Linked DNA regions of Macaca mulatta. The protein of the gene in region 4 interacts with the protein of the main gene of each other region in a biochemical or structural test. Links are inferred from orthologs where the notes say so. Each region holds a gene or a part of one and is shown on either strand. Other genes may lie near its edges.

The links.
Region 1: the proteins of ERBB3 (region 4) and RNF41 form a complex in vitro, tested with the Homo sapiens proteins (2 studies listed by BioGRID). The link is inferred for Macaca mulatta from reciprocal best matches to the Homo sapiens genes ERBB3 and RNF41.
Region 2: the proteins of ERBB3 (region 4) and TNS3 form a complex in vitro, tested with the Homo sapiens proteins (2 studies listed by BioGRID and IntAct, with this or other methods). The link is inferred for Macaca mulatta from reciprocal best matches to the Homo sapiens genes ERBB3 and TNS3.
Region 3: the proteins of ERBB3 (region 4) and ITK form a complex in vitro, tested with the Homo sapiens proteins (2 studies listed by BioGRID and IntAct, with this or other methods). The link is inferred for Macaca mulatta from reciprocal best matches to the Homo sapiens genes ERBB3 and ITK.

What each region holds. Positions count from the first base shown.
Region 1 is NC_133416.1:63,357,220-63,363,094, reverse strand, and holds part of RNF41 (E3 ubiquitin-protein ligase NRDP1), read left to right. Parts: coding exon 1-36; intron 37-2,335; coding exon 2,336-2,471; intron 2,472-2,884; coding exon 2,885-2,988; intron 2,989-4,143; coding exon 4,144-4,495; 3' UTR 4,496-5,875. UniProt on the Homo sapiens protein: Acts as E3 ubiquitin-protein ligase and regulates the degradation of target proteins. Polyubiquitinates MYD88. Negatively regulates MYD88-dependent production of pro-inflammatory cytokines.
Region 2 is NC_133408.1:81,237,105-81,242,979, forward strand, and holds part of TNS3 (tensin-3), read left to right. Parts: intron 1-2,799; coding exon 2,800-4,056; intron 4,057-5,875. UniProt on the Homo sapiens protein: May act as a protein phosphatase and/or a lipid phosphatase. Involved in the dissociation of the integrin-tensin-actin complex. EGF activates TNS4 and down-regulates TNS3 which results in capping the tail of ITGB1.
Region 3 is NC_133411.1:166,116,589-166,122,463, forward strand, and holds part of ITK (tyrosine-protein kinase ITK/TSK), read left to right. Parts: intron 1-13; coding exon 14-78; intron 79-168; coding exon 169-287; intron 288-3,142; coding exon 3,143-3,300; intron 3,301-5,875. UniProt on the Homo sapiens protein: Tyrosine kinase that plays an essential role in regulation of the adaptive immune response. Regulates the development, function and differentiation of conventional T-cells and nonconventional NKT-cells.
Region 4 is NC_133416.1:63,233,278-63,239,152, forward strand, and holds part of ERBB3 (receptor tyrosine-protein kinase erbB-3), read left to right. Parts: intron 1-2,163; coding exon 2,164-2,315; intron 2,316-3,453; coding exon 3,454-3,640; intron 3,641-4,694; coding exon 4,695-4,820; intron 4,821-5,875. UniProt on the Homo sapiens protein: Tyrosine-protein kinase that plays an essential role as cell surface receptor for neuregulins.

The sequences.
Region 1 (5,875 bases), about 120 kb from region 4:
CCCGAAACGGCCTGTGACCTGTGAACAGGGCTGTGGGTGAGATCTGTTCCCTTCTTCTGCCCCACATGGATAAGGGCCATCTCATTTATGCCCCTATCGCTGGATGCCCTCCTCACTAGCTGAGGAGGTCTCTTAGGCATGTTGGCAAGGAGTATTCTTAGCCTCCTTGGCTCCCTGCTCTAAGATCTTACTTTCTTGCTGCTTTTCCAACTATAATAATTTTGCTCTTGCTTTAACAAAAGAAGGGGCACAGCAATTCAGTAAATTTGTATAATAACACTAAAGGTTGATTGACTCTGTTCTTCCCTTTCAGTCCAATACTACTTTCTGTTTGTCAGTTTGACTGCTGTAATTGCCAGCCTTCTCATATTTCCTCTGACCCTATTTTTTCTTTCTGTGAGTTATGAAATATTTGACTAAATGTTGATAGCTGAGGGGTGTGTTAGCTCACACCTGTAATCCTAGCACTTTGGGAGGCCAAAGTGGGCAGGTCACTTCAGGCCAGGAGTTCAAGACTAACCTGGCCAACATGGCAAAACCTAGTCTCTATTAAAAATATAAAAATTGCCGGGCGCGGTGGCTCACGCCTGTAATCCCAGCACTTTGGGAGGCCGAGGCGGGCGGATCACAAGGTCAGGAGATCGAGACCACGGTGAAACCCCGTCTCTACTAAAAATACAAAAAATTAGCCGGGCGCGGTGGCGGGCGCCTGTAGTCCCAGCTACTCAGGAGGCTGAGGCAGGAGAATGGCATGAACCTGGGAGGCGGAGCTTGCAGTGAGCCGAGATCGCGCCACTGCACTCCAGCCTGGGCGACAGAGCGAGACTCTGTCTCAAAAAATAAATAAATAAATAAATAAAAATAAAAATACAAAAATTAGCCAGGTGTGGGGCCGGGTGTGGTGGCTCACGCCTGTAATCCCAGCACTTTGGGAGGCCAAGGCAGGCAGATCATGAGGTCAGGAGATTGAGACCATCCTGGCTAACACGGTGAAACCCCATCTCTACAAAAATACAAAAAATTAGCCAGGTGTGGTGGCAGGCGCCTGTAGGGGAAAGCTACTTGGGAGACTGAGGCAGGAGAATGGCGTGAACCAGGGAGGAGGAGCTTGCAGTGAGCCGAGATCACGCCACTGCACTGTAGCCTAAGCAACAGAGCAAGACTCTGTCTCAAAAAAAAAAAAAAAAATTAGCCAGGTGTGGTGGTGCATGCCTGTAATCCCAGCTACTTGGGAGGCTGAGGCATGAGAATCGCTTAAAACCAGGAGGTAGAGGTTGCAGTGAGCTGAGATCACACCATTGCACTCCAGCCTGGGCTGGACTCTGTTCCCCCTAACTAACTAAGAAATAAAAAGAATGTTGATAGCTGGGGCTGTGAATATAGGGCTTCTCTGAAGCAATAAGTGCACAGGCAGAATCTGTAGGAGGAAAAGGAGAGCTGTGCAGTAGATAAAAACAGTGTGTCAAAATAAATAAATAGTCCCAGTGCGGTGGCTCACGCCTATAATCCCAGCACTTGGGAGGCTGAGGCGGGCGGATCACCTGAGGTCAGGAGTTCAAGACCAGTGTAGCCAACATGGTGAAACCCTGTCTCTACTAAAAATACAAAAATTAGCCAGGCGTCGTGGCGGGCACCTGTAATCCCAGCTGCTCAGGAGGCTGAGGCACAAGAATTGCTTGAACCCCATGAGGCAGAGGTTGCAGTGAGCCAAGACTGTGCCATTACACTCCAACCTGGGCAACAAGAGTGAAACCTGGTCTCAAAAAAAAAAAAGTAAAATAAGAGGCCAGGCACAGTGGCTCACACCTGTAATCCCAGCACTTTGGGAGGCCAAGGCGGTGCAGATCACATGAGGCCAAGAGTTTGAGACCAGCCTGGCTAACATGGGGAAACCCGTTTCTACTAAAAATACAAAAAGTTAGCTGGGCATGGTGGCGCACGCCTGTAATCCCAGAGGCAGGAGAAATCGCTTGAACCTGGGAGGCAGAGGTTGCGCTGAGCTGAGATCGTGCCATTGCACTCCAGTTTGCGCAACAAGAGCGAAACTCCATGTCAAAAAAAAAAAAAAGATAAAAAATAAAATAAGATAAATATAAAAAGTAGATAAAACACTGTGTCTTGATTGGGGAAAGAAATTTAAGGAAAATAGCAAAGGGGCAAGTAGGAAGCTTGGAAGAAGAAAGTGAAGGGAATGAATGAGGGAGGCCTGAAATGAATGTTAGAAATTTTGGGTAGGACAAAATCTACTCAGCAGTTATCTGCCACAGAATAGGCCATTTGCATACATGTCCTGGTGATCACCCCTGTTCTGCTCTTTCCCCACCCTGGTCTGCAGCCTGGAGATGCCCAAAGATGAGCTGCCCAACCATAACTGCATTAAGCACCTGCGCTCAGTGGTACAGCAGCAGCAGACACGCATCGCAGAGCTGGAGAAGACGTCAGCTGAACACAAACACCAGCTGGCGGAGCAGGTAGGCCCCAAGACACGGGGGAGAACATATCCCTCATATGCAGATAACTGCCTGCCTGTGGGTAATAAAACCAGTTGTGAACACATAGACCTGTGCTTACACTTGTGAGTTTGGATGAGTGGCTATTCTGCCTGTGGCTTAGCAGGGAATCAGATTGGAGCTCTCCTTGACTTTCCTTCATCCCATTCATAGCATTCATTCACCTAACAGTTACCAGATGCCTCCTCTGTGAAGGCACATTTTGTAAGTACTAAGGAGACAGCTGTGAGTGAGACAGTCCTATCCCTGTCTTCCTGAAGCTTACAAACTGGTTGTTCTTCAGATCTCTCAGTTGTCCTCATTCTCGGATAAACTTTTGTCTTTTTTCTGCTGTCTGCCTTAACCATTATTCCTGTTCTTCTTCTCCACAACAGAAGCGAGACATCCAGCTGCTAAAGGCATACATGCGTGCAATCCGCAGTGTCAACCCCAACCTTCAGAACCTGGAGGAGACAATTGAATACAACGAGATCCTAGAGTGAGTGTCACTCAGGACATGGAGTGATTCCACGTCCTGACAGTAAGGCCTGAAAGGCGCTAAGAGCAGGAGAGTAGCAGAAGGAGGGCATTGGAGAGCTGGGCTGGGGGGTCACTGCTTCTCAGATATTAGCATTAAGGACAGGGGCCGAGGAGAAGAGGATAACCCTTAGCTCCACTACAGGATGTCTTACGCGTTTGGGTGGATGGAAGGGAAAGCCTACCCAAGGATGCACTTTATCCAGAATTAAGTGAGTACCCATGTACAAAGCCCTGTATTAAAGGCTGTGGAGTGCTAGGAGGGCCAAAAAGAAATAGAAGATAGGCCGGGCGTGGTGGCTCACACCTGTAATCCCAGCACTTTGGGAGGCTGAGGCGGGCAGATCACGAGGTCAGGAGATCGAGACCATCCTGGCTAACACGGTGAAACCCCGTCTCTACTGAAAAAAAAAAACAAAAAAATTAGCTGGGCGTGGTGATGGGCGCCTGCAGTCCCAGCTACTCCGGAGGCTGAGGCAGGAGAATGGCGTGAACCCGGGAGGCGGAGCTTGCAGTGAGCCGAGATCGCGCCACTGCACTCCAGCCTGGGCAACAGAGTGAGACTCCATCTCAAAAAAAAAAAAAAAGAAATAGAAGATATTATCCCTGTCTTCAGGTAGCTTACAACCCAGAGAAGAGGAGGCAGAGTGCAAGTCCAGGAAAGTGATCTCTAAAATGCAGCAAAAACAAGTGAAGTATACAAGCGAAGTCTAAGATCTTTTTCAGTTCTGGAGTCCTATACAGTTCATAGACTAAACTGTAAGTGTGAATCAATATATATAGGGCAAATAGTGCTGAGTGGGACATAGTATAGAGGAATAATTGTTTTATTCACTAAACATAGAGCACTAACTGTGTTAGGTGCTGTATGTGCTAAGTATTGGAATTTCAAAGAAAAGTAACAGGGACAGAGTGGAATTTAATCTGGTGCGTAACGTTTGGTGACTCAGTTGGGACCAACTGGGGAAAATTCGGGGTTTCTGAGCCAATCATGGAAGGAAAGAAGGAAGAATAGGTGAGCTGAGTGCAGAGTGGGTAGTTATTTCTATTAGCAGAAAAAGCCAATACAGAGAAAGGAGATGATCTGGAATGACCATCTTTAACCACCTCCACACAGGTGGGTGAACTCCCTTCAGCCAGCAAGAGTGACCCGCTGGGGAGGGATGATCTCGACTCCTGATGCCGTGCTCCAGGCTGTAATCAAGCGCTCCCTGGTGGAGAGTGGCTGTCCTGCTTCTATTGTCAACGAGCTGATTGAAAATGCCCATGAGCGTAGCTGGCCCCAGGGTCTGGCCACACTAGAGACTAGACAGATGAACCGACGCTACTATGAGAACTACGTGGCCAAGCGCATCCCTGGCAAGCAGGCTGTTGTCGTGATGGCCTGTGAGAACCAACATATGGGTGATGACATGGTGCAGGAGCCAGGCCTTGTCATGATATTTGCTCATGGCGTGGAAGAGATATAGAACTCGACCGGCTATCAGGAAGAGATGGAAATCAGAAAATCCCATCACTCCAGCAGCTGGGACCTGAGTCCTCTCCACCATCCTTAATACTGTGGCTTATACCTGAGCCACACATCTCACTGCCCTTCTGGCACTGAAGGGCCCTGGGGTAGTTTGCTCAGCCTTTCAGGTGGGAAACCCAGATTTCCTCCCTTTGCCATATTCCCCTAAAATGTCTATAAATTGTCAGTCTGAGTGGGAAAGCCCCCACCTCCATCCATTTTCCTGCTTAGGGTTCCTGGTTCCAGTTATTTTCAGAAAGCACAAAGAGATTCAATTTCCCTGGAGTGTCAGGACAGAGTAAGGAATCTCTAGTCGTCCCTCTCCTCCAAAACCAGGGAATCAGAGCAGGCAGGCCTGTTGACTCTAAGCAGCAGACATCCTGAAGAAATGGTAAGGGTGGAGCCAAATCTCTAGAAATAAGTAGTGAGGCCAGTAATTGGCCATCACGGATGGCCCTTAGGGGAAGACTGGACCTCTGTGCCAAGCAGTATCCCTGTTCAGTCCACCTTAAAGGTGCAGGCACCCACTGGGTCTACCAGTATGCAGGTTGGGATACTGAAAATTTCCAGATGAGCTCTTCTTTCCTATAAGTTTTCATAATTAGGGAATGCCAGGGTTTAGGGTAGGGGTTAGTCTGTTGGGGTTGATGTGTTCAGCAAGAAGCTACTCCTAGCTTTTGCTAAAATATGGTCAGCACTGCCTCTTGTGGCACAGGCCATAATTGTTCCATAGAGCCCTCTCTAGCCCTGTGACTGTAGTTAGTTACTTTGATAATTTTCTTTGGCCATTGTTTATATTTCACAAACTCCACCTACTTCCCCTCCCCGTCCCCCTTTTTTTTTAAGAATGGCCTGATCATGGCTATCTCAGCCACATTGTTGGCAATTTAATTTATTTACCTTTTTTTTTTTTTTTTTTAAAGAAAGGAAAAAAGAAAAAAAATCAAACTTGAAACTTTTGATGTTCCTATTGTGGGGATTTTGGATAGGGTGGGACAGGGATGGGGGTGTGTTTTATATTTTTTCCTTTTCAGCACAACCTTTGGCTTTAATATAGGAAGAGCCAAGGGAGTCCTCGGCTGAACTTACAATATCTGCCCCAAACCTCTGTAACCCCAACTGAAATGAGGAGCTTCCTCTATTCCTGTGAAGGATATGACAGTCCAGCATCGATGCCTGTGCCCTCTGGAAAAATTTCCTCCTAGCCCTTCCAGGGCCTCATCATAAAACTCTGGATTTAGAGTATTCATTTTGAAGGCAACCCCCCGCTTCCCCAAGTTTTCTTGGAGCTGTATAGCTGGGTTCTAAGCTTCACCATGCAAATCAGAAATTTTATCTC
Region 2 (5,875 bases), on a different chromosome or scaffold from region 4:
TGACAGCATTTTAATTTAGATTAGAAGAATTGCTTTACAACTCATTCTTGGGCTTTTTTTTTTTATGTCATTGTGCCAATTTATTTTAACTCAGATTTAGGGAGAAGGGTGTGGGAGTCATATAGACTTAGGAGTGTGAAATCTGTGACCGTAGTGGGTAGGCTCATGCCCTGGGCTGAGTGGCCCTGCAGTGTATGTCCTGGCTGCCAGCCAGGTGTGGGAGGGACTGGGTTGATGGCCATACAGCACCCTCCATCGTGGGGAGGAGGAGTAGTCTTTGTCATTTTCACGGAGCAGAAGCTGTTTATCAGCACCTCCTTCTCACACTCTGAAAACAGCAAGAAGGATTTGCCAGGTCTTACATTTGTTAAATTTTCCTGGTAACAGGAAATCTAAACAGAAACCAAATTAAATTGATGTTTACTCAGGGCCTATAAAGACACTCACCCCTGTGCTATGCCGTTTAATTCTCAGGTCAACCTTTTCATAGAACCATCTACCCACACCCTCATTTTATAGCCAGGAAGCTGAAGGTCAAGGTGAATGCACCAGTTGGTAGAACCCTAAGGGTGGACTCAGGATAGAGCTGGGATTTGAACCAGTGTCCATCTAATGCCAGAGCTGCTTCAAGGGACCACTCTACTTCACAATCGCCTAGTGATTGCATTAACAAATGGATTGCATTTTCCACTTTTGAAATTGTAGAGGTGATATTTGCACGTGCCTTATAATTTAGGCCAGTCTTTCCAGGTGTCTCCTTTGTTTAATTTGCACAGAGCTGGGTGAAGTAGGTGTTTTAGTCTTTGCCTGTTCTGAAGCCTGGTCACTTGGTGATCCCTGGTCAGATCAATGTGAGTTCAGTACCACCTCTTTGTGGGCAGGGCCACTGACAGAGCTTCCAGGTGTGTGCCCTCCTGGTGCTCTCTGAGCAGGTGGGCAGTGGGTCAGCAGGAGCACACAGGCGTCAGGGCCAGTGCACCTGGGTTCTAGGCCCACCTCCACCTCCTAGCAGCTGCCTGACCTTGGGCAAATTATTTATTCTCTTTGATCCTCAGTTGCTTATAGATAAACAAGAAAATAGGTCATACTGTGAAAATTAGAGAAAATGCACGATGCTCCTGTCCTGTCAATAAAAGGTACTCAGAAAACAGCAGCTGTTACTGAGGCTGTTACCTTGAATGAATCCCATGGCATATGTCCTGTCATCACTTTCCCTGCCTTGAAGACTTGGTTTATTTTCAGCATTTTGTGTAGCATTTCTACTCCCAGACCCTTCCTTCCCTAGGCTTGACTTTAGGATGGGAGTCACGGCCACTGCAGATGGGCCTATACCCCTGTGTCCACTCTCCCCACTCCTTGCTTCTCTGCATGCTTTCCCTTGGGCACGGTTGAAACAAGAAGAAAGCCTTACGTGGGCGTGTTTTCAGCACCACACCCCAGTACCTCTCAGGACTCTGTCCTAACACGTTGTCCCAGTGTTTTCAAAAAAGCCAGCAGCTGCTGACCATGGTGGTGCATCAGCCTGGAGCCCGGGGCTATGAGGCACATGCTTAGGGCAGGTCCCTCCAGAGGGCTCCTGGGCCAGGCTTGGTGACTGCTGTTAGGTAGTGGCTCACGTCTCTCAAATTCCAGGTGCCCACGCAGCGTGGGCTTCCCACCACCAGCAGCTCCCTGGCTGTGGAATGCTTGCAATTTCACAGTTGAGAAAGTAGAAGGTGGGGGAGGCCCATGGGGTGCGGCATGTGCTGACTACAAACTCCAGCTTATTTTAGGAGGCTCTTGGCAAGGACCTGCTGTGTGTGGTCGCGGCAATTGGCCAGTCAGCACATTGAGGCTCGGGAGTCCCAGAATGCCAGAGTCATGGCCATGATTAATAATAGCAGCCGATGCCTCAGCCCTTCCTGCCCACACTTTAGTTCAAAATTTTATTTTCTTGACATTCCATGTATGGAAATCAGCGCGTGAAGGTCAGCCTCAAGTGTCTGTGATCCTGAGACATTCACCAGGCACCTACTTGGCCCAAAGTTGCTGTGCCAAGCAGGAAGACCCAAACCAATTCCTGTACTTTCTCTTTTCATTGAATTTCATATTGACCTTTGAGCAGACATTCAGTTTTTTTTCCTTTTTTTTTTTTTTTTTTTTTTGAGACAGAGTCTTGCTCTCTTGCCCAGGCTGGAGTGCAGTGGCACGATCACTGCTTACTACATCCTCTGCCTCGCAGGTTCAAGCAATTCTCCTGCCTCAGCCTCCTGACTAGCTGAGACTACAGGCATGCACCACCACACCTGGCTAATTTCTGTATTTTTAGTAGAGACGGGTTTCACCAAGACATTCAATTTAATAGGAATTTGCTACCCAGCACCTAGCTGATGCTCAACAAATGTTAGACAGGTCTATGAACGGAAGCTCTTCTTTGTCTAAGATGAACAGTCCATTCTTGGGGATTTATGAGCCGAGCTGGCCTCAACGTTCACAGTCATGATGAAATTAACAATGAGCCCCAAAGGCAAGATGATTCAAAAGGTGAAGAATCCCAGAGTTCAGAATGACAATTTGTTCTGCATGGAAAGGTAGAAATGATTCAAGCACCTGAAGATGTTTATTTGAATGCCTTTTCATTGGCATCCTCCAGAGTCTATATAGAACTTTGTGATCTTAGAGGGATCTTTGTCCCTGCTTATTGTAAATCATATTTTGAATCCATTTATTTGTTTAGACAAATGCACACACTCATTCTGAGGGTGTGAGACTTGCTTTCATCCCGGACTGAAAGCCTCTCTCTGGTTTTCTCCCCCGCAGTGCTACACACGCAGGGCCCTGTCGATGGCAGCCTTTACGCGAAGGTGAGGAAGAAAAGCTCCTCAGATCCTGGCATCCCAGGTGGCCCCCAGGCCGTCCCGACCACCAACAGCCCAGACCACAGTGACCACACCTTGTCTGTCAGCAGTGACTCCGGCCACTCTACAGCCTCTGCCAGGACTGATAAGACGGAAGAGCGCCTGGCTCCAGGAACCAGGAGGGGCCTGAGCGCCCAGGAGAAGGCCGAGTTGGACCAGCTGCTCAGTGGCTTTGGCCTGGAGGATCCTGGAAGCTCCCTCAAGGAAATGACTGATGCTCGAAGCAAGTACAGTGGGACTCGCCACGTGGTGCCGGCCCAGGTTCATGTGAATGGAGACGCTGCTCTGAAGGACCGGGAGACGGACATTCTGGATGACGAGATGCCCCACCACGACCTGCACAGTGTGGACAGCCTTGGGACCCTGTCCTCCTCGGAAGGGCCTCAGTCGGCCCACCTGGGTCCCTTCACCTGCCACAAGAGCAGCCAGAACTCACTCCTATCTGACGGTTTTGGCAACAACGTTGGTGAAGATCCGCAGGGCACCCTTGTTCCGGACCTGGGCCTTGGCATGGACGGCCCCTATGAGCGGGAGCGGACTTTCGGAAGTCGAGAACCCAAGCAGCCCCAGCCCCTGCTGAGAAAGCCCTCAGTGTCCTCTCAGATGCAGGCCTACGGGCAGAGCAGCTACTCCACACAGACCTGGGTGCGCCAGCAGCAGATGGTTGTAGCTCACCAGTATAGCTTCGCCCCCGATGGGGAAGCCCGGCTGGTGAGCCGCGGCCCTGCAGACAATCCCGGCCTCGTCCAGGCCCAGCCCAGAGTCCCACTCACCCCCACCCGAGGGACCAGCAGTAGGGTGGCTGTCCAGAGGGGTGTAGGCAGTGGGCCACACCCCTCTGACACACAGCAGCCCTCTCCCAGCAAAGCGTTCAAACCCAGGTTTCCAGGCGACCAGGTTATGAATGGAGCTGGCCCAGAGCTGAGCACAGGCCCCTCCCCGGGCTCACCCACCCTGGACATCGACCAGTCCATCGAACAGCTCAACAGGCTGATCCTGGAGCTGGATCCCACCTTCGAACCCATCCCTACCCACATGAATGCCCTCGGTAGCCAGGCCAATGGCTCTGTGTCTCCGGACAGCGTGGGAGGCGGGCTCCGGGCAAGCAGCAGACTGCCTGACACAGGAGAGGGCCCCAACAGGACCCCTGGGCGGCAAGGTGAGCTGGGGCTCCACGGGAGGTGCTCCACGGGAGGCTAATGTGTGATGAGAAATCAGCCTAGTAGGTTCGCTTTTGGCAAAACCCACAAGGGAGGGACGTTTCCCTTGCAGTTTGAACTCTCGTGAATTTTGGCCTAGGATCCAAATGCTGTCGTGCTGGTGTGGTCCCTTGGTGGGAGATTTGGAGGGTGGGAGAACCAGGCAGAAGACCCGCTGTTAACATCAGTGCAGGGGCAGGGAAGGGCCCCTCATGCCTTCATTGCAGAATGGGCTTAACAGTGAAACCGTTCTCCCTTCATGAATGCTGGTGGATTTACGAAGGAAGCATACTTCTGTCCTTGTGGTGTAGATCAGGGCTTTGTGGAAAAATGCCAGCTACTTCAGTGGGGCTGAAGGTTGGGGATGAAGAGGACTGCTGAGCCCTCAGACAGCTTTGTCACAAGGAAGTGATTCAGCAGTGGTGGTATAAAATGTTCTGATTACAAATACACGTGTCAGAGTTGGCCATGGTGGTGTCGGGGGACTGGTTATGGAAGGCAGTGCCTGGGTGGAGGCTCGGGGTCCACAAGGGGTTCTACCACGGAGAGCAGCTTAGTGATGGGAGGGGCTTGGGGGAGCAGGCTCATGGGTGAGGGGACTGAGAGCTGTGGTGGGACCCAGAGCCATGGGGCCAGGTGCAGGGGCCTCCTGGGGATGCCCCAAAACCAGGTGGGGGTCATGCTAACTGCAGGGAGGCCAAGACTGCACGTGTCCTTTTCCCCTGAGGCTGGTGGTTTAGAAACCAGCACAGGGCCTTTCTGCCTGGCTTTGAGGCCTGGGAAGAACCAGGGCTGGGAGTGGTGGACAAGCAGTGACCTCTGCCTAGGTTACAGCAGCACTGTCTTCAAGCTGCATTGATGTAATGGGGCAAGTTGCATGTTGGGACCAGATTACTATACAGTGTTCTTTCTGTTGGGAAGTCATGAAAGCCGAGGGGACCAGAGAGCTGGAGGTGGTCATGTCGGCCAGGAAAGACACTCAGCAGGCAGAGAAGGGCACTGAAACGGAGCAGGGTTGTCTCAGTAGGGGACTGTGTGGGTGAGATCATGTGGTCTGGAAGCTTCTGCACAGAGGTGCACGCCAGGGGAGGGCAGCCAGGCTGTAGCGGCTATGCCTGGGGGCCACTGGGAGGCTACAGGAGGTGGAGAGACAGAGCTGTGTTCTGGGAGCCCTGGCAGTGATATGCAGGGACCGGGACCCAAGGATAACCTTGGGCCAGAGAGTGTGGCATCCATATGATGCCAGGGCCTCCCACATTGGCACGTTGGGGTGTGTTGGCAAATGGGGGCCGCTGGCTCCTTAGAGGGACTTGCCTCTAGAAGTGAAGACCAGAGAGGTAAAGGACGAGGGAGAATATGGCTATGTGACACTGTGCATGTGATTCCCACCATGGGCTGGTAACACTGATGAGAGATGCTACCATTTATGCCCGCGTGGTTCTTGGTTTAGGTGTGCTGGCCCATGTCATCATCCTAAGCACCTTGGCTGCAGGCACCAGTCCCTGCCTTATAGTCGTGTTGACGGAGATGTCAGTAGGTTACATGGCCCACCCAGGTTCACATGGGACCGGCGTAGTAGAGCAAATGTCTGTGCCCTGCGGTGTGGACTCAGTGTCTCCAGCCTCTTTGGAGTCACACAGGTGAGGACTGCAGTCCCAACTCAGGTCTGGGGTGGCCTGGGGGAAGGAGCACACGCTCTGCAGATGTTGATCCTGGTGTCAGGTCTGAGTGTGCTGTGGGCTGCCTGAGTGACGCACGTGTGTAAAGGGCAGTGTCTCT
Region 3 (5,875 bases), on a different chromosome or scaffold from region 4:
GTCTCCTCTCCAGGCTGCCCGAAATTGTTTGGTGGGAGAAAATCAAGTCATCAAGGTGTCCGACTTTGGGATGACAAGGTAAAAGAGAGAGGTGGTGCCAGTGAAGTCTCAGGAATGGGACTCAGGCCCCCGGAACATTCTGACCTTCTCCCTCCACTCTCTTCCCAGGTTTGTTCTTGATGATCAGTACACCAGTTCCACAGGCACCAAATTCCCGGTGAAGTGGGCATCCCCAGAAGTTTTCTCTTTCAGTCGCTATAGCAGCAAATCGGATGTGTGGTCATTTGGTGAGTGTCATGCTGGGCCCCGCCGCCCCAAGATCTGGGCTGCAGGCCAGCTGTTTCCTTTATCAAATGCGGACAACCTTACCCACACTGAACCCAGTATCGTATCATGAGGGTGTCCTACTGGAGGGTTGCGTAAGAAAGGCCCTGAAAACTATGAAAGGGCCTTCATTATTTTGTTTGTTTTTAGAGATATTGGACATGGTTGGGAGTTAACTAAAAGTGGAGACAGCGTTCTGGTGCCAGCTGCTGTGAAGTCAAAAGCTGGAGAAATCAAGAGATTCAAATATGAGCCCCTTGAAGGCAGGGACCATGTTTTGTCCAACATTACATTTCCATACTTATCTCTTAATAAGTATTAATATTTATTCATTCAACAACAATTAACTGAGGATCTATTCTATGCCAAGGGCTAATCTAGGTGCTGAGGATGCAATGGTTCATAGGACAGAAAAGACTTCTGTTCTTTTGGAACTAAATTTGAGACGGGAGGAGAGACAGAAAATCACAAAAGATCATAATAACCATCATAAACCATAACAATCATAAACAAGCTAAGGGATAGAAGATAAAGTCAAGCAATCATAAGTAGGTGCTAGGAATAAAATAAAACAGTAATGGGGCAGAGTGACTAGAATGGAGAGAGGGTCTGCTTTGAATAGGGTGGTGTGGGAGGTCCTTTCTCAGAAGGTAATTCTTTAGCAGAGACTTGAATGATAGGAGGGAGCTGTCACCATTTGAAGAGACAGGGAACAGTGTCCCTGATAGAGGGACCAGCAAGTACAAAATCTTGGTGCATCCAAAGAACAGGGGGTACTGACTTATTGGGAGAACAATAGACAATGAAGGTGGCAGGCCATGATAAAGAATTAGAATTTCTAAAAAGTGCAAAGGGCTATGAATGAATGAATGATGTTGGTATGGCAGGATGTACCAAATGTTCTTGCTGGATTTGTCATGTCACCTGAAGTCATAGTTTGTGCATACTAAAGTGTGCAACAAATATATACCAGAGAACCTCTTTGATTTGGATTGCAAGAAGAATTATAGTGTGTACAGAAACTACTTGAAGATTGATTTTTGCCATTCGGTATGAAGGAAGGGTTTGACAAGGTCTTACTAGTAGTAGAAACCAGGGGGAGGTTGGCTAGGTAAATCTTTTAGGAGAAGAATGAGTGTTAAAAATCTTCTCCAGCATTTTAGACTATCCATCTCTAGGAGCCAAGTGGTTTGTTAATTATGAGTCCTACCTGTTTCTTAAAACAGTCCCCTGTTCACCAAACCTAGCAGCCACTTTGTTAACCAGGTTTAAGTTACAGAATGGACCTGAAAGAAATTTACTAACAGCATTCTTGGATGACTCTCCTCTCCCCAGTGTGTATAACTAGGAAGGTTGGGGCTGATGTACAGTCATCTCACTATGGGTGATGAAACTGATCACACTGCACCAAGCAAGGGCCCCACAATGAGACATTTGGAGCAATGGCCACTTTAGCACATTCACCTTCTGACTCTGAATGGGGTTTATTCAGCCAAAGGGTATCAGCCTGGGAATTTCCTGCAGCATCTTACCATTAGAGGGTTGGGCTGAAATTCGTCCCTGCCTAGAATATGTTATTTGAAGAGAGTCCAGAAACGAGGTTGATGGATGGATGCAGAATAGAAAGAGGTCAATGAAAAAAAAGTGTGAAAAAACTGGGGGTACCAGCCTAAGCAACAGAAACCTGGATGAGCTGAAAGCTCCATGCCTGCATCAACCCATTTGACTTTGTCCTATGTTTTAAGTTTTTTTGCCCTCATTAACAGTGTGCTTTTCAGAACAAGTCAACCTCTTTGTACTTCACTCAATTTTTTTATCTATACATATCTCATCTATGCATCTATGTATTAAAGAAATCATTCTGAAGCCATGTTTTAGCAGCAGCACATTTTCAAATAAATTTTCACTAAAAATTATGGTGTCTTGGAGTGATAGGCATTCTTATTTAGGGTCAGGTTCTGAATTTCCAACTCCCGAGGCACCTCTGAGTAACACTAGAGATTCTGATCACTGGATCTGGGCTAGGGCCCAGGAATCTGCCATTTGAACAAGGCTGTGAGATGATTTTTATTCAGGTGTTTTGAGGATCATGCGTTGGGAATGGGTACTCTAAGATTCTCTGGAACAAGCTTCTGAAAGCTCTGGATTAGCTGATTTGCAAGCAGCCGTCTTGCTCTGACAACCTGTGAATACATCAGCGCATGATAAAGACAAAGCTGGGTGTTACATTTCTACTAAGGGCAGAAGAGGAAAAGAAAGGGATTAAATCAGAGGTCAAAACTAGACAAGCAAAAGATGTGTTTTGCTTAGTCTGCATGGTATTTTTAAAATTCGAGAAGTTCAACTCTTAATTTTTGACTTCTTTTTTAAAAAAAAAATCAGAAAATGTGACAATTCTGATCCCTCATTTTCATGTGCCATACTTTGGTTGGAGTCAAATCATAGCTGTCTCCTTAAGACAGAACTGTTTATTTCATTTTCCACAATCCTCCCCAATCCCTATAGTGTCACACCTCCTGCACGCCATTCATTTACATCCTGCATCGTGGTATTTCAGTCTACAACTGTTAGTTGTAGCATTTGAGTTTGATATAACAAAGGGTCCATCTTGAAAAATCCTTCTCCACTACAAAGGTTGGGAAATTTCAGTTCTTTAAAAATAAGACAGGCCTAATAAACCTCAGGTAGACTCAATGTACTTCTGGAGGTAGCACATGGATCCTAGTGCCAAGGAGTCTGTAATTTCTAGAGGCAGGTTGGTTTGTTTGCTGTCTATGAGCTTTGTCATTCACTGTGCTGTGCTCACCATTTCTCGTAGGTGTGCTGATGTGGGAAGTTTTCAGTGAAGGCAAAATCCCATATGAAAACCGGAGCAACTCAGAGGTGGTGGAAGATATCAGCACCGGATTTCGGTTGTACAAGCCCCGGCTGGCCTCCACACATGTCTACCAGATTATGAATCACTGCTGGAAAGAGGTCAGCAGAGGAAGTGCTTCCCCATGCATTGTCGTATACAATTTCAGGACCTGCCTCCTTCCCTAGAGAAAGGAACCCTCTCGGAAGGATGAGGCAGGAGGGATAACTAATATAGATTAGCAACGACATGACTTTGAGGATCTATTAACGGGATGGATCCCCCATCCCTAAAAAGGAGCTGACGGTGACCTTAAAGGTTATTTGGTTTGCTACATAATGTCACAAGCTATAAGCATAGCTTCAGAGAGGAGGATGGGGTGTGGCCTATGCCAGCTTCCTCCTCGATTTTCTGAGAAGAGAAAAAAAAATCTGTAACATCATAAAACCATTAGAAGTTATAGAAATAACTTCGGGAACGAAGTTCACTTGTGCTATGAAAATATTAAAATGGCTTAATTTGAGTACATTTTATTCATTCAGCAATTTAAAACGGGGAGGCAATTACTCCGTACCCACCCAGGTGGCTCATTTACCTCATCCCTGGACTGCAGGCCATGGCTTGAGTCCCATCACTGTGAGTCTTAGTCTTTGCTGAGTTAGAAAATCATACATTTCAGCCAAAGTGGAAAGTTGCTGAAATAGAGAATTAATAAAAATTCAGATCATTGTAGGACAACAAGGTAGAATACAAAAAATTTAGAACACTAGGATTTTGTCTCAGCTTTACCATTTATTTGCCATTAATCTTTGACAATTCTCTGAACTTCCTTTTTCTTACTGTTGAATTAAATAATGCTTGATCTATGAGCTCATAGAGCTTTTATAATCAGAAAGAAACAAACAATAAAGACATAAACAAGGGCATAAAACAAATCTTATCCACTTCATAAGGATTAGCTGCAATAATAATAATGATGGGTGACATTCAGTTAGCACTTTTTTCCTCTTTTAACCATCATGTATTGATTTTTTTTAATTAATAGACTTTATTTTTTAACAAAGAGTACAGAGTTCTCATATACCCACCTCACCTGAACAGTTTCACTGTTCACTAACATTTGGCATGAGTGTGATACTTTTGTCACAATTAATGAACTTCTATTAATACATTAACTAAAGTTCATAGTTTACATTAAGGTTCAGTCTTTGTGCTGTAGAGTTCTGTAGGTTTTCACAAATTCATAATGCCATGTATCTGTCACTATAGTATCAGACAGAATAGTTTTACTGCCCTAAAAAATCTCCTGTCCTTCACCCATTTATCCCTCTCCTCATCCCCAGACCACTGACAACTACTGATCTTTTCACTGTCTCCATAGCTTTGCCTTTCTCAGCATGCCATATGTTGGCATCATACAGCATGTAGGCTTTTCGGACTGGCTTCTTTCACTCAGTAATATGATTTAAGATCCCTCCATGTCTTTTTGTGGCTTAATAACTAATTTCTTTTTATTGTGAAATAATATTTCATTGTATGGATATATCACAGCTTGTTTATCTACTTACCTACTAAAGGAAATCTTGGTTGCTTTCAGTTTTTGTGTTGTTTGTTTGTTTGGGTTTTGGGGGTTTTGTTTTGTTTTGTTCGAAATGGGGTCTTATTCTGTCACCCAGGCTGGAATGCAGTGGTGCGATCTCAGCTCACTGCAACCTCTGCCTCCCCGTCTCAAGCGGTCCTCCCACTCGGCCTCCCAAGTAGCTGGGACCACAGACATGTGCCACTGTGCCGAGCTAATTTTTTGTATTTTTGGTGGAGATGGGGTTTGCCACACTGCCCAGGTGAGCTCAGGCAATCAATCCACCCACCTCAGGCCTCCTGTAGTGCTGGGATTACAGGTGTGAGTGCTCAGGCAGACTGGTGTCTTTCACTCAGTAATATGCCTTTGAGGTCCCTCCATGTCTTTGGGGCTTGATAGCTCATTTCTCTTTATTGCTAAATAATATTCCATTGTATGGATATACCACAGTTTGTTTATACTTTTACCTGCCAAACGAAATCTTGCTTGCTTTCAGTTTTAAACAATTATGAATAAAGCTGCTATAAATGTTTATGTGGAGATTTTTGTATGCACATAAATTTTCAACTCAATTGGGCAAATGCCTAAGAGTATGCTTGTTGAATCATATGGTAAAACTATGTTTAACTTGTTAAGAAACTGCCAGAATGTCTTCCAAAGTAGCTGTATTATTTTACATTCCCACCAGCAATGAGAGTTCCTCATTAGCATTCGTTGTTTTGGATTTCAGTGGTTCTAATAGATGTGTAGTCATATTATATTGTTGTTTCAATTTGCATTTTCCTAATGACATATGATGTTAAGTATATTTTCATATGCTTATTTGCCACCTGTATATCTTCTTGGTAATATCTATTCAGATCTTTTGCCCATTTTTCAATCAGGTTGTTTGTTTACTTACTGTTGAGTTTTAAGAGTTCTTGGTATATTTTGGATACAAGTCCTTTATCAGACATGTGCTTTGCAAATATTTTCTCCTAGTCTGTGGCTTGTCTTCTTATTCTCTTGACAGTGTCTTTCACAGAGCAGACTTTTAAAATATTTTAACAAAGCTCAACATCAACTTGTTTATTCATGAATTGTGCTTTTGGTTTACATCTAAAAACTCATTGCCAAGC
Region 4 (5,875 bases):
ATAACTGTCCCATCCAGACTCCTGCAATCTTCACCCAGAAACCCAGGAGTACCAGAGTCTGGCCACCCTCCCTGGGTAGGCAGGAGGCAGGCATGGTTGGGTCTCTTTACCCTTTATCTGGGTCCTGCAGCCTCTGGGCATCCGGCCCTGTCTCAGTCCTTCTATAGCCCCTTTGTCCTGGCTGTGATGGGGGTGGGGGATGTTGGAGGGGAGGCTTCTGGTTGAGGAGGGGCTGGAGATTCTGGCTCTATCCCACCCCTAGTGCTCTCTACCAAAGGAGCGCCTGTGCCACTGCCCCTCCTTATGCTCCCGGTCCCTGGGTACAGGAGGGATTTTTATGATTCCCTTCCCCTGCCCTGCTCCCCAAGCTGCCTAGCTCCTCCCCAGACGTGTTGTTTGTGCTCCCTTCCTGCCCAGGCCCTTTGCCCCCTGTTTGTGTAATACGGACTTTACCCTCAGGGGAGCAGGGAACTGGGCTACCTCTAACACTGTAGCCTTCCAAGCACAGACACAAAGTCTGCACAAACACATATGGGCACGTGGGATAGATGGGGCCACCTGAAATACTTCCTGCAAGGAAACCCGACCACAGGTTCCTGGGCCAGCAGGACCAATGTGTATGTGTTCATGTGTATGTTGTGTGTGTGTGTGTGCCCACACTACTACTTCCCTGTGCAGAAAACTTGGCTCCTCCCTTATCTGGGGAGAAGGATTGGCACTATAACTTGGGAAAGGGGGTGTCCTGCCAGGAAGGGGACTGGGGTGGGGCTGTTCCAGAAATGACTAACCTTCCTAGTCTCTTTCATTTCAACCCAAGGACCCTGGAGTTACCAGCTCCTCTGGAACTAGCTCTCTTTGCTGGGACTAGCCAACCTTCATGGGGAGTGATAAGGAGCCCTCCAAGGTCAAGAATTCAGACTAGGGGTATATAAGAGGGATTGGGGCCTCACCAGTCTCCCTCCCTCCATTCCCACTGTTGCCTCCCACTGACTACCACTGCCTCAGGGAAGGGTGGCTGGAACAGGTGGTATCTACCCCCTATTCCCCACCCCACACGTGGTCTTTCGCTGAACCAGAAGAAAGAGACTGGGGTAGGGCTTCAGAGTCCAGGATTTTCCATAGCCCATTGTCCACCACATTTGCAAAGAGTGAACTCCCAAGGCTGACATGCCATGTGCCTCTAGTCTAGGCTTTCCCCTAGTGCGGGTGAGGATTGCCATGGTGAAAGGCTTTTTCATGAACCTCTTCTAACAATGAAATTGGGTGGAGGCTCAGTGTGGGGCATCTCCTACTATTTCTCTCCAGGTGTCCCTGTATTTGCTAAAAAATACTCTAGGGCTGGAAAGTGATGCTGAGGTTGCTAGAGTGTGTTGGGATAGGGAGACAGAGTGAGAAGGAAAGCCTGAGTTTAGGAACGGGGGGAGGCAACCAGCTTCTTATCTTCCAGCTTTAAAGACAAAGCTCCCATTGACCCCCCCCCCCACCCCACCACTGCCAGAGCTCCCTCCTCTACTGAGGTCACTTGTCTGAGCCCAAGGCTTGAGGGTGGAGGGGAGTGCTGCTGAGGATGGGGTGTCTAGGGATAGGGTGGGGCAGCCCCCCTCCTGGATAGAATCGCCTCATTGTGGGCTGGACTGTGGCCCCAGGCACTGCCCCCACCCTCTGCCCCCATCCCACCCTCAGTTGACACAATAGGGGCTGTGTACTAGCCCCAAAGAGATATTTATTCCAGGACCTAGAGAGAGGCAGGATGAGGGTAGAGAAGTGAGTGCCCTGCTTGGAGGGGGAGAGGAGGGTAATCAAAGTTTCGGCCCTTTCCTAACTTCTCTTTTCTAGGGAGGGAAACAAATTCACTGTCATCCTTCTCTATTAACCCCTTAGTACCCAGAGTGGTACCCAAAAGAGGCACAGAGGGGTCTCAGGTAGAAAAAGGAAATCTTCACCTTCCCATTCATAGAATGGTAAAGGGATTCTGAGAAGAGAGAAAGCTCTCAGGCCACTACAGCTTCTGCCTGTCGCTTGTGGGAGGGTTGGAGGCAAATGCCCTCTGATCCTGTCTAATGTAACTGGAAGAGGGCAACCAAGGGGGTGATCTTGGGGGATGGCAGATGGGCTGAGAATTTGTGTCCAGCCCTCAGCCACTCTTCCCTCTGCTTTGAACAGTGTGTCCTGGGACTCTGAATGGCCTGAGTGTGACCGGCGATGCTGAGAACCAATACCAGACACTGTACAAGCTCTACGAGAGGTGTGAGGTGGTGATGGGGAACCTCGAGATTGTGCTCACGGGACACAATGCTGACCTCTCCTTCCTGCAGGTTAATGTGCACCCTCCTTCCTCAACCTGCTCCTCTTTATTCTCCCCTAGAACCCTCCTTCCCTCTTCAGGGCTACCTTCTGCTGGAGTTCACCCTTCCTAAGACGCAGGAGTTCCTAAGATCCAAACCCGCGTATTTCTGGGGACAGTGGCTGTAATCTGGGACCTATGGTCTCGCTGTTGTAGCCAGGGATATATAGGGGGCAGGGGCAGAGGCAGGGGCGGGGCAGGTGGTGTTCTGTGGTAGTGCGAGGTCAGCAGGGACTAGCGCAGAGAGACACCTGAGGACCGAGAGGGTACCTGGGGAGATGAGGAAAGGGCCCGCCTGGCATGAGGAGCTTTGAGGAGAAAGCTGCCTGTCTTCACTCCCAGAAGTGACATAGTAGTGTGACACAGTCTACTCCCTACTCCAAAATAGGAATTAGCAAGAGTTAAGGAGAGGTGCAGTGGCTCATGCCTGTAATCCCAGCACTTTGAGAGGCCAAGGAAGGCAGATCACTTGAGGTCAGGAGTTCAAGACCAGCCTGGGCAACATGGGGAAACCCTGTCTCTACAAAAATACAAAAATTAGCTGGACCTGGTGGCACGCACCTGTAGTCAGCTACTTGAGGGCTGAGGTGGGAGGATCGCTTGAGCCCAGGAGTTTTACACTGCAGTGAGCCGAGATTGTGCCACTGGACTCCAGCCTGGGTGACAGAGCGAGACCGTCTCACCAAAAAAAAAGGTCAAGTGCGGTTGCTCATGCCTGTAATCCCAGGACTTTGGGAGGCCGAGGCAGGCGAATCACCTGAGGTCAGAAGTTTGAGACCAGCCTGACCAACATGGAGAAACCCCATCTCTACCAAAAATACAAAATTAGCCAGATGTGGTGGTGCATGCCTGTAATTCCAGCTACTTGGGAGGCTGCGGCAGGATAATTGCTTGAAGCCGGGTGGCGGAGGTTGTGGTGAGCCAGGATCGCGCCATTGCACTCCAGCCTGGGCAACAAGAGCTAAACTCTGTCTCGAATTTTAAAAAAAAGAAAGAAAGAAAGAAGGAAGAATTAAGAGTTAAGAGTCTTTAATGCCTGAAGGAGGAGAGGGGATTGAGATTTTTTTGCCCTGTTGTCTCTCTCATTGACATAATCTGCTCTGTCACAGTGGATTCGAGAAGTGACAGGCTATGTCCTCGTGGCCATGAATGAGTTCTCTACTCTACCATTGCCCAACCTCCGAGTGGTGCGAGGGACCCAGGTCTACGATGGGAAGTTTGCCATCTTCGTCATGTTGAACTATAACACCAACTCCAGCCACGCTCTGCGCCAGCTCCGCTTGACTCAGCTCACCGGTCAGTTCCCGATGGTTCCTTCCGGCCTCACCCCTCAGCCCTCAGACTGGTACCTGCTTGATGATGACCCAAGGCTGTCCACTCTAAGTGCCTCTTCCAAGGTGCCTGTCACCTTGGTAACTGTCTAATGGTCCATTGCTCCCTAAGCAATAGAGGGCCCCCAGTAGGGGGAGCTAGGGGCATCTACTCCAGGGAAAGGAACCATGTGTCCTGGTGGGGCTGGAGTCAGAGCCGGATCTGTTACCATTTCTCTAACTTCAAAGTACAGTGTACTGGAGGCCAGGCGTGATGGCTCACACCTGTAATCCCAGCATTTTGGGAGGCCAAGGAGGGCAGATCACTTGAGATCAGGAGTTTGAGACCAGCCTGGCCAACATGGCGAAACCCTGTCTCTACTAAAAATACAAACAAAACAAAACAAAACAAAACAAAACAAAACAAAATTAGCTGGGGATAGTGGTGTGCACCTGTAATTTCAGCTGCTCAGGAGGCTGAGGCAGGAGACTCGCTTGAACCTGGGAGGCGGAGGTTGCAGTGAGCCGAGATCGCACCACTGCACTCCAGCATAAGTGACAGTGAGACTGCGTCTCAAAAAAAAAAAAAAAAAGCCAAAGCACAGTATACCTGGATGTCCCTCCTTCCCTAGGAATTCTACCTTTGCTCTCCTAAACCAAACCCCTATGAGCTGAGGAATATAGGAGTTAAAAACCACCTGTCCATCTTCTACTTCTCCCTGTCCCAGTCAGTTGGAAAACATATGGGCAGGGCTTGTGGGAGGGGATGTTGAGTCAGAAATCTTCTCTCCCTCTCTCCCTTCCCCTCCCCCACTAGCTAAACCGGATCTGGACAGGTGACTGAGGAGGCGGGAGTTTCTTTTGGCCTGACTCCTCGTCTTATAAAGGGAGTCTTCTCTGCAGCTTGGATTTAATTGGACCTATCTGTCTGCCTCGTCCTCCCACTCCTGAGTCTCAGGTGTCATTTTGGATGGGTGGAGAGGTAAGGAAGAGGCGTACTGCTGTGGCCCTTAACCCTGTCACTTCTTTCCCTACCTCAGAGATTCTGTCAGGGGGTGTTTATATTGAGAAGAATGATAAGCTTTGTCACATGGACACAATTGACTGGAAGGACATCGTGAGGGACCAAGACGCTGAGATAGTGGTGAAGGACAATGGCAGAAGCTGTAAGTGACTGTGATCAAGACTGCTCCCCAGCCCCACCAAACCGGAGTGACTCCCTTCTTTCTATCATCCTTACATTCCTGATCTGAACCCGCCTCCCCACTGAACAAACACCTCAGGTCCCTGACTCAGCAGCCCACCAGGACGGACCATGCCAGTCCCCTGGAATCTAAACTACAGAGGAGGTGTTTCAAGAAAAGGAGCGGATAGGCCGGGTGCGGTGGCTCACGCCTGTAGTCCCAGCACTTTGGGAGGCCGAGGCGGGCGGATCACGAGGTCAGGAGCTCAAGACCATCCTGACTAACACGGTGAAACCCCGTCTCTACTAAAAATACAAAAAAAAAAAAAAAAAAAAAAAAAAAACACTAGCTGGGCGTGGTAGTGGGCACCTGTAGTCCCGGCTACTCAGGAGGCTGAGGCAGGAGAATGGTGTGAACCCGGGAGGCGGAGCTTGCAGTGAGCTGAGATCATGCCACTGTACTCCAGCCTGGGCCACAGAGCGAGACTCTGTCTCAAAAAAAAAGAAGAAAAGGAGCAGACCGAGCATGGTGGCTCATGCCTATAATCCCAGCACTTTGGGAGGCCAAGGTGGGAGGATCACTTGAGCCCAGGAGTCCAAGACCAGCCTGGGTAACATAGCAAAAAATCTACAAAACATTTAAAAATCAGACAGGCGTAGTGGTTCACAACTGTAATCCCAGCTACTCAGGAGGCTGAAGCAGAGGATTGCTTGAGCCCAGGAGGCTGCAGTTGCAGTGAGCTGTGATTGTGCCTTTGTACTCTAGCCTGGGCAACAGACTGAGACCCTGTCTCAAAAAAAAACAAAAAAAATTCCCTGGGTACTAAGCAGGGAAGCCAGATCTTTAGGCTCCACATCTGTTACTCGTTCCACTAGAATATACTCCCTTCTCCTCAGAGCCCACCTTCCCCTGACCATTCACATGCATATATTCCTGCATATATTCAGTTTGCCCAGGAGGAACCAAGTTCCTGGGTTGGGACTGGGACTAAGATTGGCATTTGCCCCAGTCCCTCCCCTTCAGCTGCCCACTGGGTA